2 linked regions of the Cricetulus griseus genome follow. The protein of the gene in region 1 interacts with the protein of each later gene in a pairwise test. Links are inferred from orthologs where the notes say so. Each region holds a gene or a part of one and is shown in the gene's direction. Other genes may lie near its edges. The genes, in order: Bptf and Maz.

Region 1 (6,880 bases):
CAAGTCCCCTGTCTGTAATTCACCTGAGTTTTCCTGATACCATTGCAGGGAAGGATCTTCATAACGTAAATGGTTCCGTTAGAACCCTTTACAGATTTGTAACCTAAATGCCGTATATTTTATGTTGTCTGCTTTTTTCCACAGGGCGGCAACCAAGGTTTAACAGTAGTAATTCAAGGACAAGGTCAAACTACTGGACAGTTGCAGTTGATACCTCAGGGGATGACCGTCCTTCCAGGGCCAGGGCAACAGCTCATGCAAGCTGCGATGCCCAATGGTACTGTCCAGCGGTTCCTCTTTACCCCACTGTCAACGACGGCCACAACCAGCAGCAGCAGCCCCGCCACTGCTTCTACAGCAGCAGGTAGAAACACTGTCTTGCCACTCGTTGCTGGCCTCTCGAGTAGCAGGGCCCAATGTTCCACCTCCAGCCTGCTTAACAGCTGAACTGCTGACACAGCCAGCCTCTGTGTTTCCATGCCTTGTTCCTAGACTCCCTGTACCCCCCTTTCCTGATTAAAACAAAACAAAATCCTGGTGAAGCCCTGGAGGTGAGCTTAAGGAGGGTGAGTCCACACAGCTCATAACCAGCCTCCTGTAAGCCATCAGTGCCTGTTGCCATGCCATAGCCGAAGCGTGAAGCTTGAGTGCCTCAGAACACCTAGGTGACATACAGGAAGCATGCAGGAAGCATCCCAGCTCCCCAGCCTAGGAGATGGCTACTCTGAGTCCTCCTCGAACCCGAGGCTTCAGGAAATACCCTCATAGTCTTGCATACTAAAGCCAGGGAAATCACTTTGTCTTTTTTTCTTTACAGGTTCGGGGGAACAAAAACAGAGTAAATCGTCACCTCAGACCCAGGTCCAACCAGCCACTACCCTGGCGCCAGCTCAGTCATCAAGTGTGAGTCCTGCAGAAGCCCAGCCACAGACTCCTCAGCCTGCAGCACAGCCCCAGCCCCAGTCCCCAGCTCAGCCTGAAGTCTCGTCCCAAACCCCTTCTGAAGCACAGCCCTCCCAGACACAGTCATCTAAACCCCAGCAACAGTGTCAGCCTCAGAGCAATGTCCAAGGACAGTCTCCTGTTCGTGCCCAGAGCCCATCATTGACTCGAATACGTCCATCAACTCCATCCCAAGTGACTCCTGGACAGCAACCCCAGGTTCAGACTACAAGCTCACAGCCGATTCCAATCCCGCCCCCCACATCTCTGCAGACACCTTCCCAAGGCCAGCCACAGTCACAGCCCCAGGTACAGTCTTCAACTCAAACTCTTTCTCCAGGACAAACATTAAGTCAAGTTACTGTCTCATCCCCATGCTGTCCTCAGCTACAAACACAGCAGCTGCAGCCCCAAGTCATTGCTGTGCCTGAGCTCCAGCAAGTCCAGGTTCTCTCTCAGATCCAGTCACAGGTTGTGGCTCAGATACAGGCTCAGCAAGGTGGTGTGCCCCAGCAAATCAAACTTCAGTTACCCATTCAAGTTCAGCAAAGCAGTGCTGTGCAGACTCAGCATGTTCAGAGTGTGGTCACAGTGCAGGCAGCCAGTTTGCAAGAGCAGTTGCAGAGGGTTCAGCATCTCAGGGAGCAGCAGCAAAAGAAGAAGCAGCAGATAGAGATTGAGCGTGAACACACCCTCCAAGCTTCTGCCCAGAGGGAAGTCATTCAGAAACAGGTAACGACATTAAGTCAAAGCAGCATGTTGGGTAGTGTGAATTACTGTGCTGTGTGGTACACTTAGTGCTTTGGTTGTGGTAGGCTTCCTGACTGAGACATGGTCACTGGTGGATAGCCTCAGAAGACCAGAACACTGCTTGCCCATTTTGGTTTGGGACTCCTTAATGGGCATGTAGCCTTTCCCTGGTAGGAAACCAAGTGGTGAGGCCACCATCAAAATGGAGTGATTCAGTTGAAGTCATCTGATTTGCAAGTGTCATTCCTTCATTTGCCTATCGACTAAGCAAATTGTGGGCAGACTGAATTCATTTGCATCGCTTGCCACACCTTTGTAAAAATGTCTTAAACCCAGATGTGTGTCCGTAGCGTCCGTGGAAGGCGGTGGTGTGCAGCAGGGGCGTCTTGGACTAGTATGTGGGTGAGGGAGTCACTGTAGACAGCCAGAGCTCTGCCAGAACGAAGCTGGTGACCTGCAGTCTTCCCGAGGACACTCTGGCATCAGCCACGTGCCCCCCTCAGCACTAGGCAAGAGGTTCCAAGTCTTAGCAAGCTCTGAAGCACTGTTTTCTCCCTGAGCTGTGTCCGCATTAAACTTGTCTCTCTGCAACCACATGGGAGTGTTATGATTAAATCCCATCATGTATGTGGTTGTGAAGGTATAAGGTGTTATTTTTATGAACGTAAGTCCTCTGTGACATACTCAAATCCCAGCTCTTGTATTGTTTCATGTGTAAACTGAGTGTTACTCCAGGACCTGTCTTCCAGATCTTTGTAAGGGGCAGGGTACTCTTCAACCTGGTGGCTACAGTTGGTGAAGCCCTTTGGAGCATGAGAGTTGGGTGAAAGTTTTGGGCTGTGTTACTATTTAATCTCAAACAAGTTGGTTGATTGCTTTGTGTCTCAGTGTTTGAGAACAAAAAAAGTATCCCTACATCTCAGTCTTACCATGGAGAATAAACAATGTCAAGTGCTTAGCTTAATTCAGTACTTGGTGCACGGTAAGACCCTGGGACCACCTAGCAGCTGTCTTTTTATCTGTATTAGTTACACAATTCTTACTAGTTGTAAAATCGGCGTGTGTTGTTACTTCTACCTGTGTGCTAGCTGAACTTGTGTCTGTTATAAAGTGTGCATTTATGCATTTGTTCTGTTCTCAAGGTGGTGATGAAGCATAATGCTGTAATAGAACATTTAAAACAGAAAAAGACCATGACTCCAGCTGAAAGAGAAGAAAATCAAAGGTAGGGAGAGACACAGGCCCACCTGAGAATCTGCACAGTTTGATTTGGCTTTGGTCTTACCCAAGTTTAATGCCAGGAGCGGCCATAGATGCTCCTTGAAACTCTGCAGTGCGTTTGTACATCATCTAGGGATGTAGACAAATGGTGCCTTACCTCTCAGGGTGGAACAGCCAGTGTTACAGAGGTTGTGTGTTTTCCTCTAGAATGATTGTGTGTAACCAGGTGATGAAGTACATTCTGGATAAGATAGATAAAGAAGAAAAACAGGCGGCAAAGAAACGCAAACGCGAAGAGAGTGTGGAGCAGAAGCGGAGCAAGCAGAATGCCAGCAAGCTCTCTGCTCTGCTCTTCAAACACAAGGAGCAGCTCAAAGCCGAGATCCTGAAAAAGAGGGCCCTCCTGGACAAGGAGCTGCAGATCCAGGTGCAGGTAGGAGCGAGCGCCCCACAGGCGCTGGACACACCTGCCAAAATGCCAGCTCCTGTTCTAGAATTTACATTTGTGTGTTTGTAGCATGGAAGTTTATCTTCCTCCAATCCAAGAGGGTTGAGCTTTTTTGGGTTTCTTGTTTGTTTCGTCTTTTGTTTTTCCTAGACAGGGCTTCTCTGTATATCCCTGTCTCTCCTGGAACTCATTCTGTAGACCAGGCTGGCCCGAATTCACTGAGATCCACTTGCTTCTGCCTCTTGGGCGCTGGGATTAAAGGCGTGCACCACCACCGCCCAGCATGGGCTGAGTTGTTTTAGCTATGTTGGATGTGGTGTGCTTTTATTGTCTGTGTCATCGTTCATCCAGAACACATTTCAGAAGAATGCAGAGTAATGTGAACATGGGAAAACACATTTGTGCAATTTTTCCTACCCTGAAAGTGATACTGTAGGCACTATTAATCCATTCATGAATATTTACAGAGCTTTCTGACAAAGAAGCAGGCTGTTGACAGCATCAAATAAGGGATTTTGTACATTTTACTAAAATACCCATCAAACCAACAAACGACCTTACATAACCTGAAAGACTGGAGGTCCCACAGAAGACAAACCAGACAGAGCCAGCAATCAGGTTATTCACTGGAGGAAGATGAAAGAAGGAAGCACAAACTTCAAGAAAGAAGACAGAATTCTTTTTGTGTGTGGTGTAATTATTACATTACATCCCCAGGGAAACCATAATAAAATTTTAACAGAATTAAGGTTGCCAGCATTAGTATTAACACTGAGTACAACTGTTGTCCCAGTATCCCGGGAAAGAGAGTCCATTCACAGTAGAATCAGAAAACTTAAAATACAACTCCATACTTGGTGCTGTGATACAGTGCAGGTTAAGAGAGCTAGCTATTCACAGAGCATCAAACCTATAAGTTACAGCCTTGCACGTGACATTAAAGTGACTATTCCAGGCCTGTCTTGGTGGTTCATACCTCTAATCCTACCATTGGGAGGCATTCAAGGCCATCCTGGTCTAAGTGAATTGCAGGACAGCCAGAGCTACATAGTGAGACCATGCCTCATAAATAAATAAATAAATAAATAAATAAATAAATAAATAAATAAATAAATATGAAAAACATAAAATTTTAAATGTAAAACAGAAAACAAAATACTAAGAAAATATTGTTGCCATTTTTGAAATCTTGGGAAGCAATTCTTATAGTTGTTTTATTCTCTATTTCATTTTCTCTTTTGTTTGTTTGTTTGTTTGTTTTTTGAGACAGGGTTTCTCTGTATTGCTTTGGAGCCTGTCCTAGAACTCGCTCTGTAGAATAGGCTGGCCTCAAAATCACAGAGATCCGCCAGCCTCTGCCTCCCAAGTGCTCATTTTCTCTTTCTATAAACATCTATATAAAGCCTCTGCCTTTGATTTGCTTCCAACAGGATCTTTAGCCCAGGACTGGCTTCAAACTCCTGGGCCTCCTGCTTCAGCCTCATGAATGCTGGGATGATGACCTGTACCCCAAGTCCAGGGCAGGCTCTCCTTTAGAATGTGTAGGACTCCTTCCTATAGGTGCCAGGGTTCCATCCAGTTAGCCTTATTGCAGCCACTGTTGCTCATCTGCTGGAAACTCTGCATGTCTTGAAGAGCAACAGGCAGTTGTTACAGCCCTTTTTCAGCTGCAGTTGGTGTATTGGGATTTTTTTTTTTTTTAAGATTTTATTTATTTATTTATTTATTTATTTATTTATTATATGTGCAACATTGTGCTTCCATGTATCAGAAGAAGGCACCAGATCTCATAACGATGGTTGTGAGCCACCATGTAGTTGCTGGGAATTGAACTCAGGACCTCTGGAAGAGCAGTCAGTGCTCTTAACCTCTGAGCCATCCCTCCAGCCACATGTGTTGGGATTTTTTTGAGACAGGGTGGATTAGCATTTTAAAAGAGTGTTACAAGCTTTACAGTGGTGGCACACACCTTTAATCCCAGCACTCTGGAGGCAGAGGCAGGCGGATCTCTGTGAGTTTGAGACCAGCCTGGTCTACAAGAGCTAGTTCCAGGACAGCCTCCAAAGCCACAGAGAAACCTTGTCTTGAAAAACAAAACAAAAAAAGTGTCCCAGTTTAGTTGAGCCCTAAGGTCAGTGTGTGTGTGTGTGTGGGGGGGTCCCATCCCAGCCTCTCATCATCTCTGTAGAAATGTGACAAGCACTTTTACCCACTGAACCATCTCACGGGCTCAGGGTACTCATTTTTGGCTAAGCATGTTTAGAGAAACTAGTGTTGTTTTGGGAGGTGTTTGTTTGTTTTGTTTTGAGACAAGGTCTCACGTAGGCCAGATGAGTCTCAAGCTCAACAGTGTTGCAAAGGACAACCTTTAATTTGTAATCTTCTTGCTTCTCTGTCATAGCTCGGGCTATGCACCCAGTTAGAACATTGTGTATTTTGTTGCCTAGGTCTACTATCTTAAATCCAAGCAAAGCATGGTAAACAAGGACAGTCTTTCTCTTACTCCCTCCAGGCCTTGCTTTGAGTCTTGTGTTTGGTTCCTGTGCAGACTCCTAACAGGAGCTGCTTGAATGAGTGTGATACACGGTTTTTCCCAGCACTCAGGAGGCAGAGGCAGGTGGATCTCTCTGAGTTCTAGGCCAGCCTGGTCTGCAGATCAAGTTTCAGGACAGCCAGGGCTATACAGAGAAACAAAAAAACAAAAAGAATGGTGTGTGGGGCAGGGGTGGGGGGACTGTGGGTGATATTTGCCAGGTGGGGATAATGTCCAGGTCCTGCCCAGGTTGCTCCTTCCCATAACCCTGGTGATCGTCTGTCTGTCTTCACTTGACCACAGGAAGAGCTGAAGAGAGACCTGAAAATGAAGAGAGAGAGAGACATGGCACAGTTGGTACAGGTCAGTGCTGCTGCAGTGTCCACACCCTCAGTGCCAGCGCCAGTTCCAGCCCCACCAGCAGCAGCCTCTCCAGCCCCACCTCCTCCTTCACCTCCCTTGGCACACAGTGTGCCATCTGCGGGCCACCCCACAACCCCACTGCCTGTCGCTTCCCAGAAGAGGAAGCGGGAGGAGGAGAAGGACTCCAAATCCAAGAAAAAGAAGATGATCTCCACGACCTCCAAGGAGGCCAAGAAAGACACCCGGCTGTACTGTATCTGCAAGACGCCCTACGACGAGTCCAAGTAAGTGCCTGTCCCCAGCTTCGCTGTTGAGTGAGCAGTTGGCAGCACGGGTGAGGGCGAGCCAGTGTGAGGCTGGGCTTCATCTTGCATCTGATACTTGGCCTGACACAGTGCAGTAAGGGGGCTGTTCCACACGCTCATGGGTCTTGCTTGTCCTCAGCAATGTCCTTTTCTGTCAAAAACAAGCTTGCTGTGGCCTCTTTGCTTTCCCAAAGCGCTTTGTGGACTTGCTCCTAATCAATCTGCCAGCACTGTGTCTTGCAGCCCAGAGTCCATTCCAAAATGGATGGCACAGAGGTGTCACATCAGTTCCCTTTTTTAAAAAATATTTTTGTCTAA
Region 2 (7,655 bases), on another chromosome or scaffold:
ACATGAGTACATTTACATAAATAAATAAAAATATTACCCGGGGCTAGAGATATGACTTGTAGTAGTTAAGAACACTGGCTCGGCTGGGCGTTGGTAGTGCACGCCTTTAATCCCAGCACTCGGGAGGCAGAGGCAGGTGGATCTGTATGAGTTCAAGGCGAGCCTAGTCTACAGAGCGAGTGCCAGGATAGGCTCCAAAGGTACACAGAGAAACACTGTCTCAAAAAACTAAAAAATATAACTAAAAGAATATTGGCTCAATTCCTCGCAACCACATGGTACCTCATGATGGCCTATGACTCCAGTTCCAAGGAATCCAACCCTATCTTCTGCACCAGGCACACACATAGTACACAGATATACCTGCAGGAAAAACACCCACACACAGAAAAATATATAACCTGCCTAGAGGCAGGCAGCTCTTTGTGAGTTTGAGGTTGGCATGGTCTATGTGTGGCTATATAGTGAGACATTGTCAAAAAAAAAAAAAAAATCCATTTCATAAAACCTACCTGCTTGAAGACTTAATTCTGTCTTTAGGTAGCCCTCTGATCATTAGGATGTCCTTAGTTATTTTGAACTGTCTCCTCATTGAATATCTCCTACTGGCCCCACTTCCATCCTCTTGGACCTCAGAGCTCTGCCTGCCTCACCTTCCTAATCCACTGCTTTGGGGCTGGAGCTGAATCACATCTTCCCATGATCCTTTCCAACAGAGGCTTAAGATGAAGCAAAAAGAACTAGAGGCCAAGGTGCTGGCCCAAGAGGCACTGGATCCAAAGGAGAAAGAGAACACGTGTCTCCAGCCCCTTCCCTCTTGTACAGGCACAGTGGCAAAGCCTCTGAAAAAGGCTGTGGTGATGCCCCTGCAACTGAGTAAGTTTGGTTCCAGAGTCTATGTCAGAAATGAAAAGATGTAAAGAGCAGCTATCCTCTTGTCACTCATACCCTCCCACTGGATCTGAACAAGCCCTGCATGCTTGTCATACAAGGGTATTGGCTGAATATGGTGGCACCCACCTGTAACCCCCAACACTCAGGAGAGGGGAGCAGAAGGATTGCTCTAAATTCCAGGTTAGCCTTGGTTATAGAGTGAGACCCTGTCTCAAAAAAAAAAGGAAAGAAAAAAGTCATTTGGAAACAACAAAAGCTCAGGTTGGAGAAATATGAGAAGCAAATGGCTACCAGGGAGGTAGGGTGGGAAGGAGGTTGGTTGCCTGTGCCCTAACCGGTTCCTGATTCCTGCTTTCAGTTCAGAAGCAGACAGAGTCGAAGATCCATATCCTGAAGAGAGGCCACAAAAGAAAGGTGAGCTGACCTCACCCTGGTTTCCATTGGGAATCTCTTGCATATGGTGACGCTTTAAAGACTTGGATGAAATGTTGGGTGTATTTAGTGGAGTAGGTATCCACCATTTGTCAGTTTCTTTTTTATTTTTATTTTTTGAGACAGGGTTTCTCTGTGGCTTTGGAGGCTGTCCTGGAACTAGCTCTTGTAGATCAGGCTGGTCTCGAACTGGGATCAAAGGTGTGTGCCACCAACGCCCAGCGGTCAGTTTCCTTTCTTTGTGATGCTTCTTGCACTTAAGATTGGATACTGGCTGGACTTAGTGTATAGCCTAGCTCCTGCCTCTATAAATTGTAGAGACCATTTAGGGAAATGACGGGTATTTAAGAACCTCTCACACAGGTATTCACATAAACTGAACACTAGGAGAACTGTCCCAAACTGTCAGGATGAGGTAGGGTGCTTACTGTTTTTTCTTTCTCCTGTACTGGAGATTGAGACCCCAGTCCTCAAGCGTACCTAAGTGCTCTACAACGAACTATAAACTCCTAGTCAGACGATGTGTATGTTCATTTATTCATCGAATCTTCACGGCAACTGAGAAAAATGCTAGTAATTATACAAATCCAACAAAATTAGTGCCAGAGTGGGGAGGGAGAAGGTAAGGTCTTGGCAGTCATCCACAGGCCTTTGCTATCTATTATTCCTGTTACCTCATAGCCGGAGCCATCCGATGTGTCCGAGCCTGTGGAAAAGGCTGAGGACTGCTGGGAGCTACAGATTAGCCCAGAGTTACTGGCACATGGGCGCAAAAGATTATTGGATCTGCTGAATGAAGGCTCAGCTCGGGATCTGCGCAGCCTGCAACGCATTGGCCAGAAGAAGGCCCAACTCATCATGGGCTGGAGGGAGCTCCACGGCCCCTTCAGCAAGGTAACAACCTAGAGAAGGCAGGTGGGGCGGGGTGCCCAGTCAGGTTCTCTGTCCACATCCTTCCGACTGCCGCTGTTCTCTAGGTGGAGGACTTGGAACAGGTGGAAGGCATCTCTGGAAAGCAGGTGGAGTCTTTCCTGAAGGTAGGAACGCCTCTGCCCTTTCTCCGCCAGCCTACATGTTGTGCCCCAACCCCACCCACCCCTTCCACTGCCACCCGACCCCACACCACACCCGGCTGCTACACTGACGCGCTTTACTCTTCCTTACAGGCGAACCTCTTGAGCTTGGCTGCGGACCAGCACTCCGCTCCCTCCTGACTACCAGCTCTTAACACTACCTTTTTCTTTTAAAATCCTTGTATAATGACGTGTTTGTGTAAATACAGTTTTTATCCCATGCTTGAGCCTGTTTTTTTAGGATGGCGGGGCTAGGGTGGGAGCCACAATTGCCCTTGGGATCAGGATCGAGCGCTCTGCGGGGCACTTAGCTGGGCGCCATCTTTGGGAAACCCCGAACTAGTCCAAGATTGTAAATAAACCACTGGGATGGGAAGGGGACGGTGGCCTAGGCGAATCAAAAAGCCGAAGCGGAAAGCTTAAGAACAACGACCGTTAGGCGGGCACGCGCTTCTAGTTTAGCCCCGCCCCACTGTAACTCTCTCTGCGCGCTCCCCACGCTGTTCTGGACGACGCCGCTGTTGTGTGCGCGTGCGCGTGAAATAACGGCTGCTGGCAGAGGGAAGTGGGGGGTGGAATCGTTGAAGTGGGGGAAGAGAAGCCGCCTAGTCTCCCGCGCGCCCACCACCTGCACCACCGCCAGCCAATCAGCAGCTGTCTCGAGGGTCTCGCGCTCGGGGCGACTCGGGCTGCTGGGTGGCTCCCCCGTCCCTCCTCCCTCCAGAGTCCCTCCCGAGCCTCCCCCCTCCCGCTGGCCCCGCGCGCACTCGCGCTCGCGCCCGCTCCAGCCTCTTGTGTGTCCTCGCGCCCCCCGCCCGCCCTCCGGCGCGCAGTGTGCTCCGCTCCCCCACCCTCTTCCCCCTCCCTCCCTGCGCGCCTCCCCCAGGCCCCCCTCCCCCACCGCCGCTCTCCCGCCCCGGGGTGAGCGCGAGCCACCTCCCTCCTCCCTCCGCCATGGATCCAGCAACTGGAGCAGCTTCATCTTCCAGGTAACAACCCCCGCCCCCCCCGCCCCTGCCCCCCCTCCCACACCCCTCCCGCCCGCCCTCCCTCCCGTCCCACCCCCCCTCCGCGCGCCCGGTGCGCGCGCAGCTGTCCCCCCTCCCTCTCCGCCCTCCCCGCCCTCCCGAGGCGCCGGCTGGGCGCGCGCGCGCGGCGGGGGCCGAAGCTGCTCCCTCGCTCCCCCCACCCCGCCCCGCCAGGCTCCAACTGCCGCCACCCGCCGCCGCCGCGCGCCGCCCGGGCCCCCGCCCCCGGCCCGGCCCTCGCCCCGCGGGCCTCTCGCCCCCACCCAGGGGCGTCGCCGCCGCCGCCGCGCTCCGCGCCCCACAAGACGCCCTCCTTCCCTCCCTCCCGCCGGCCGGGGTGCGCGGCGGGCGGGCGGCCCTCGGGCCATGCATTCGGCTCGGCCCAACCCGGCCGGCCGGGGCGGCGCCCCGAGCCCGGGCCCCGCGCGGCCCGTGCCCCCGGCTCCCGCTGAGCTCCGGGGGCCCCACTGTGGCCGAGGCCATGTTCCCCGTGTTCCCTTGCACGCTGCTGGCCCCCCCCTTCCCCGTGCTGGGCCTGGACTCCCGGGGGGTGGGCGGCCTCATGAACTCCTTCCCGCCACCTCAGGGTCACGCCCAGAACCCCCTGCAGGTCGGGGCTGAGCTCCAGTCCCGCTTCTTTGCCTCCCAGGGCTGCGCCCAGAGTCCATTCCAGGTGAGTAGGGGCCGGGCCGGGCGGGCAGGCGCCGACCAGCGACCGCGGCCCACACGGCGCCTTGTCTCTGCAGGCCGCACCGGCGCCCCCACCCACGCCCCAGGCCCCGGCGGCCGAGCCCCTCCAAGTGGACTTGCTCCCGGTCCTCGCCGCCGCGCAGGAATCGGCCGCGGCGGCTGCGGCCGCGGCAGCTGCTGCCGCTGCAGTGGTTACTGCACCCCCAGCCCCTGCTGCCGCCTCCACAGTGGACACAGCGGCCCTGAAGCAGCCTCCGGCGCCTCCTCCGCCACCCCCTGCCGTATCCGCACCAGCCGCCGAAGCCGCGCCCCCCGCCGCGGCCGCCACCATCGCCGCAGCGGCAGCCACCGCTGTCGTCGCCCCAACCTCTACAGTCGCTGTGGCCCCTGTTGCATCTGTCTTGGAGAAGAAGACAAAGAGCAAGGGGCCCTACATTTGCGCCCTGTGCGCCAAGGAGTTCAAGAACGGCTACAATCTCCGGAGGCACGAAGCCATCCACACAGGAGCCAAGGCTGGCCGGGTCCCTTCGGGTGCTATGAAGATGCCCACCATGGTGCCCCTGAGCCTCTTGAGCGTGCCCCAGCTGAGCGGGGCCAGCGGGGGAGGGGGAGAAGCCGGGGCTGGCGGAGGCACAGCCGCAGTGGCGCCCGGTGGCGTTGTGACCACGACCGCCTCTGGAAAGCGCATCCGGAAGAATCACGCCTGCGAGATGTGCGGCAAGGCCTTCCGCGACGTCTACCACCTGAACCGACATAAGCTGTCGCACTCGGACGAGAAGCCCTACCAGTGCCCTGTGTGCCAGCAGCGCTTCAAGCGCAAGGACCGCATGAGTTACCACGTGCGCTCACATGACGGCGCTGTGCACAAGCCCTACAACTGCTCCCACTGTGGCAAGAGCTTCTCCCGGTGTGCAGGGGCCTCGGCTGCCCACTAGGCCGATGGTGGGGGGAGGGCAACAAGGTGGCCTGTCTTTGGCTGGTGGGGAGGCGGCTCCCGATGCTGGGGACAGGAACCACTCCCAGGGAGGAGGGAAGTGAGCCTCGTGGTTACTGGGAGCAGGGGGTGGTACTTGAGAGGAGGTGGGTCTTTGGGCTGGAGGAAAGCCGCTTCTGGGCAGAGATAGAATCCTGTTTTGAGCGATTTCCTGTCTAAGGACCAAAGATGTAGGGGAAAATTCTGGGGTTCTTGGAAAGGCACTTTGGAGAAATCTAGGCAGATTTGAGAAGCATCTCACCTTGGAGCCTTAGCCCTAACCCCCCCCCCACCTCAACATATCCCTAGGCCGGATCACCTCAACAGTCACGTCAGACAAGTGCACTCAACAGAGCGGCCCTTCAAATGTGAGGTAGGAAGCCCGCTGCCTCCTGTCCTGGTTTTCATGATTTTGATCCTCACTGTAGCTGTCTGAGTTCAACCTCTCAGACCCCCTTTTTCTCTCTCTTTTTGCCTTTTCACTCCATTTTCGCATTTCTCCTTCAAGGCCTGGTCATCTCACGCCCATTTCCTACAGATCAAAGACCCCCAAGGCTCTGATCCCTTTATCTTGCCCCCTTCTCTCTACTCCCCGAAGCTTTAACTCTCCTGTGACCCCCCCACGCCCTCCCCCCCAGAAATGTGAGGCAGCTTTTGCTACGAAGGATCGACTCCGAGCGCACACAGTACGACACGAGGAGAAGGTGCCATGTCATGTGTGTGGCAAGATGCTGAGCTCCGCTTATATTTCGGACCACATGAAGGTGCACAGCCAGGGCCCTCACCATGTCTGTGAGCTCTGCAACAAAGGTACATGCTAAGGGATGCCAGGAGGGCAGGGACAAAGTGGGAGTAGGTGGGCACAACGCTGTTGGTTGTTTTCATGGATGTGGGTTAAGGGTGCTGTAGCCAAGAGCTCGTGGCATGTAGAGAGAGCCCTTTAAGAAGCAAGCACAACAGCATTGGAAGTAACTGAGCACTAAATTCTATGCCATGGCCCAGAGGAGACAGTGCACCAAAGAGTCAACCTCCTGGGTGTGCCTGGGGAAAATGAAGTGGGCTCAAGAAAGCCAGTCCCCAGGGTTTCAACTTTGCAGCCACAAGTTCTTGTCTCCAGCTCCTGGGGCAAGTCGAGAACATCAGCACGGGTGTAACAAGCACACACCCTGCCCAGTAACAAAAAGCTGTTTTCAGTGTGGTTATTCACTATACGATCTGAGACCAGGGCACTGGAGAGGGGGGGACACAGCCGTCTCTACTGAGAGTCAACCCTTCAAAAAGCTAGGCCACAGTGTCCTGTCATTTGGGAGAGATCTCCCAATTATGGGGGAAGATCTCTGTAGGTATTAAGGATTAAGAAACAGGTACCATGCAAACCAGGCCCCAAGCTCAGGGAAGGGCTATGTCCCAGTGGAGTAGTTGGCCCCAGCCTACCAAGGATGTGGTGGGAGGAGGACAGTGCCATGTGAGGAGGGTGTCCCCAGCCTAGGAGAACAGCCCTGTCTCTGGGGTCTCCACCAGGCTGACCCCCCACTCCCCATCCCAATCCACCCCCCCCCATAGGCTTCACCACAGCAGCATACCTGCGCATCCACGCGGTGAAGGACCATGGGCTCCAGGCCCCGCGGGCTGACCGCATCCTGTGCAAGCTGTGCAGCGTGCACTGCAAGACCCCTGCCCAGCTGGCCGGCCACATGCAGACCCATCTGGGGGGGGCCGCCCCTCCTATCCCGGGAGATGCCCCCCAGCCACAGCCTACCTGCTGAGGGGGACCCCTGCACCCACCAGGCAAGGCGTGGGACATGGCTGGGGGGGCAGGATGGGATGTGTGGGACAAGGGACTTCAAAGGGCCCAATAGGGGATCTCAGGAAGGCCAGGGATGCCAGTTTGTCACTCAGATTAGGGAGACTTGGGGTCCAGAGAAGGTAGTACAGAATTGCTGTGTGGGTAAGTCAGGCAGGTCAGAGTCTCTGGGGGCCAGATAGGAAGTAACGGCTGTGTCCCAGGGGAAGTAGGGAAATAGTTGGGAAATCTGAGGGTATGGAGCATGTTTCTTGCCATTCAGGTTGTGCTGTGATCCTTGGTGTTTCTCACTGTAGGTACTGGTGAGGTTTGTCCAATGGCGGCGGCGGCGGCAGCAGCAGCAGCAGCGGCAGCAGCAGCAGTGGCAGCCCCTCCCACAGCTGTGGGCTCCCTCTCTGGGGCAGAGGGGGTACCAGTGAGCTCTCAGCCACTTCCCTCCCAGCCCTGGTGAGCTCCAAGTTGATGGGAGCGAGGGGAAGAGCAGAGGAAAGCTCTTCTTGGTACAGTCTCCTCTTCTCACCAACTCCTCACTGCTCACCATCAACCAAGGAGCCTCCAGACAGAGGAGGAAGAAGGAATTCACTAGGTTTAACAATGTTTCTCCTGCTCCTTTCTTCTCCCTATCAGAGCTGACCCTCCAAACACCTGTCCCCTGAGTTGTGTTGAAGTCCCCTGGACAGTGAGCAGGGGTGGCAGAGGACAGCAGCAGTCACTGCCCTCAACCTTTAAACCCCTTGCCTTTCCTCCCAGGGATTTGTGAG

Evidence for each region.
Region 2: the proteins of Bptf (region 1) and Maz interact in a two-hybrid assay, tested with the Homo sapiens proteins (2 studies listed by BioGRID). The link is inferred for Cricetulus griseus from reciprocal best matches to the Homo sapiens genes BPTF and MAZ.

Annotation. Positions count from the first base shown.
Region 1 is NC_048600.1:119,991,829-119,998,708, reverse strand, and holds part of Bptf (nucleosome-remodeling factor subunit BPTF), read left to right. Parts: intron 1-144; coding exon 145-364; intron 365-817; coding exon 818-1,674; intron 1,675-2,834; coding exon 2,835-2,917; intron 2,918-3,120; coding exon 3,121-3,346; intron 3,347-6,197; coding exon 6,198-6,541; intron 6,542-6,880. UniProt on the Homo sapiens protein: Regulatory subunit of the ATP-dependent NURF-1 and NURF-5 ISWI chromatin remodeling complexes, which form ordered nucleosome arrays on chromatin and facilitate access to DNA during DNA-templated processes such as DNA replication, transcription, and repair.
Region 2 is NC_048596.1:73,725,435-73,733,089, forward strand, and holds Maz (myc-associated zinc finger protein), read left to right. Parts: upstream 1-3,775; 5' UTR 3,776-3,908; coding exon 3,909-4,100; intron 4,101-4,173; coding exon 4,174-5,024; intron 5,025-5,399; coding exon 5,400-5,463; intron 5,464-5,728; coding exon 5,729-5,900; intron 5,901-6,653; coding exon 6,654-6,856; 3' UTR 6,857-6,878; intron 6,879-7,190; downstream 7,191-7,655. Other genes in the region: kinesin-like protein KIF22, read left to right, coding at 717-876, 1,253-1,308, 2,008-2,220, 2,304-2,363, 2,493-2,540. UniProt on the Homo sapiens protein: Transcriptional regulator, potentially with dual roles in transcription initiation and termination.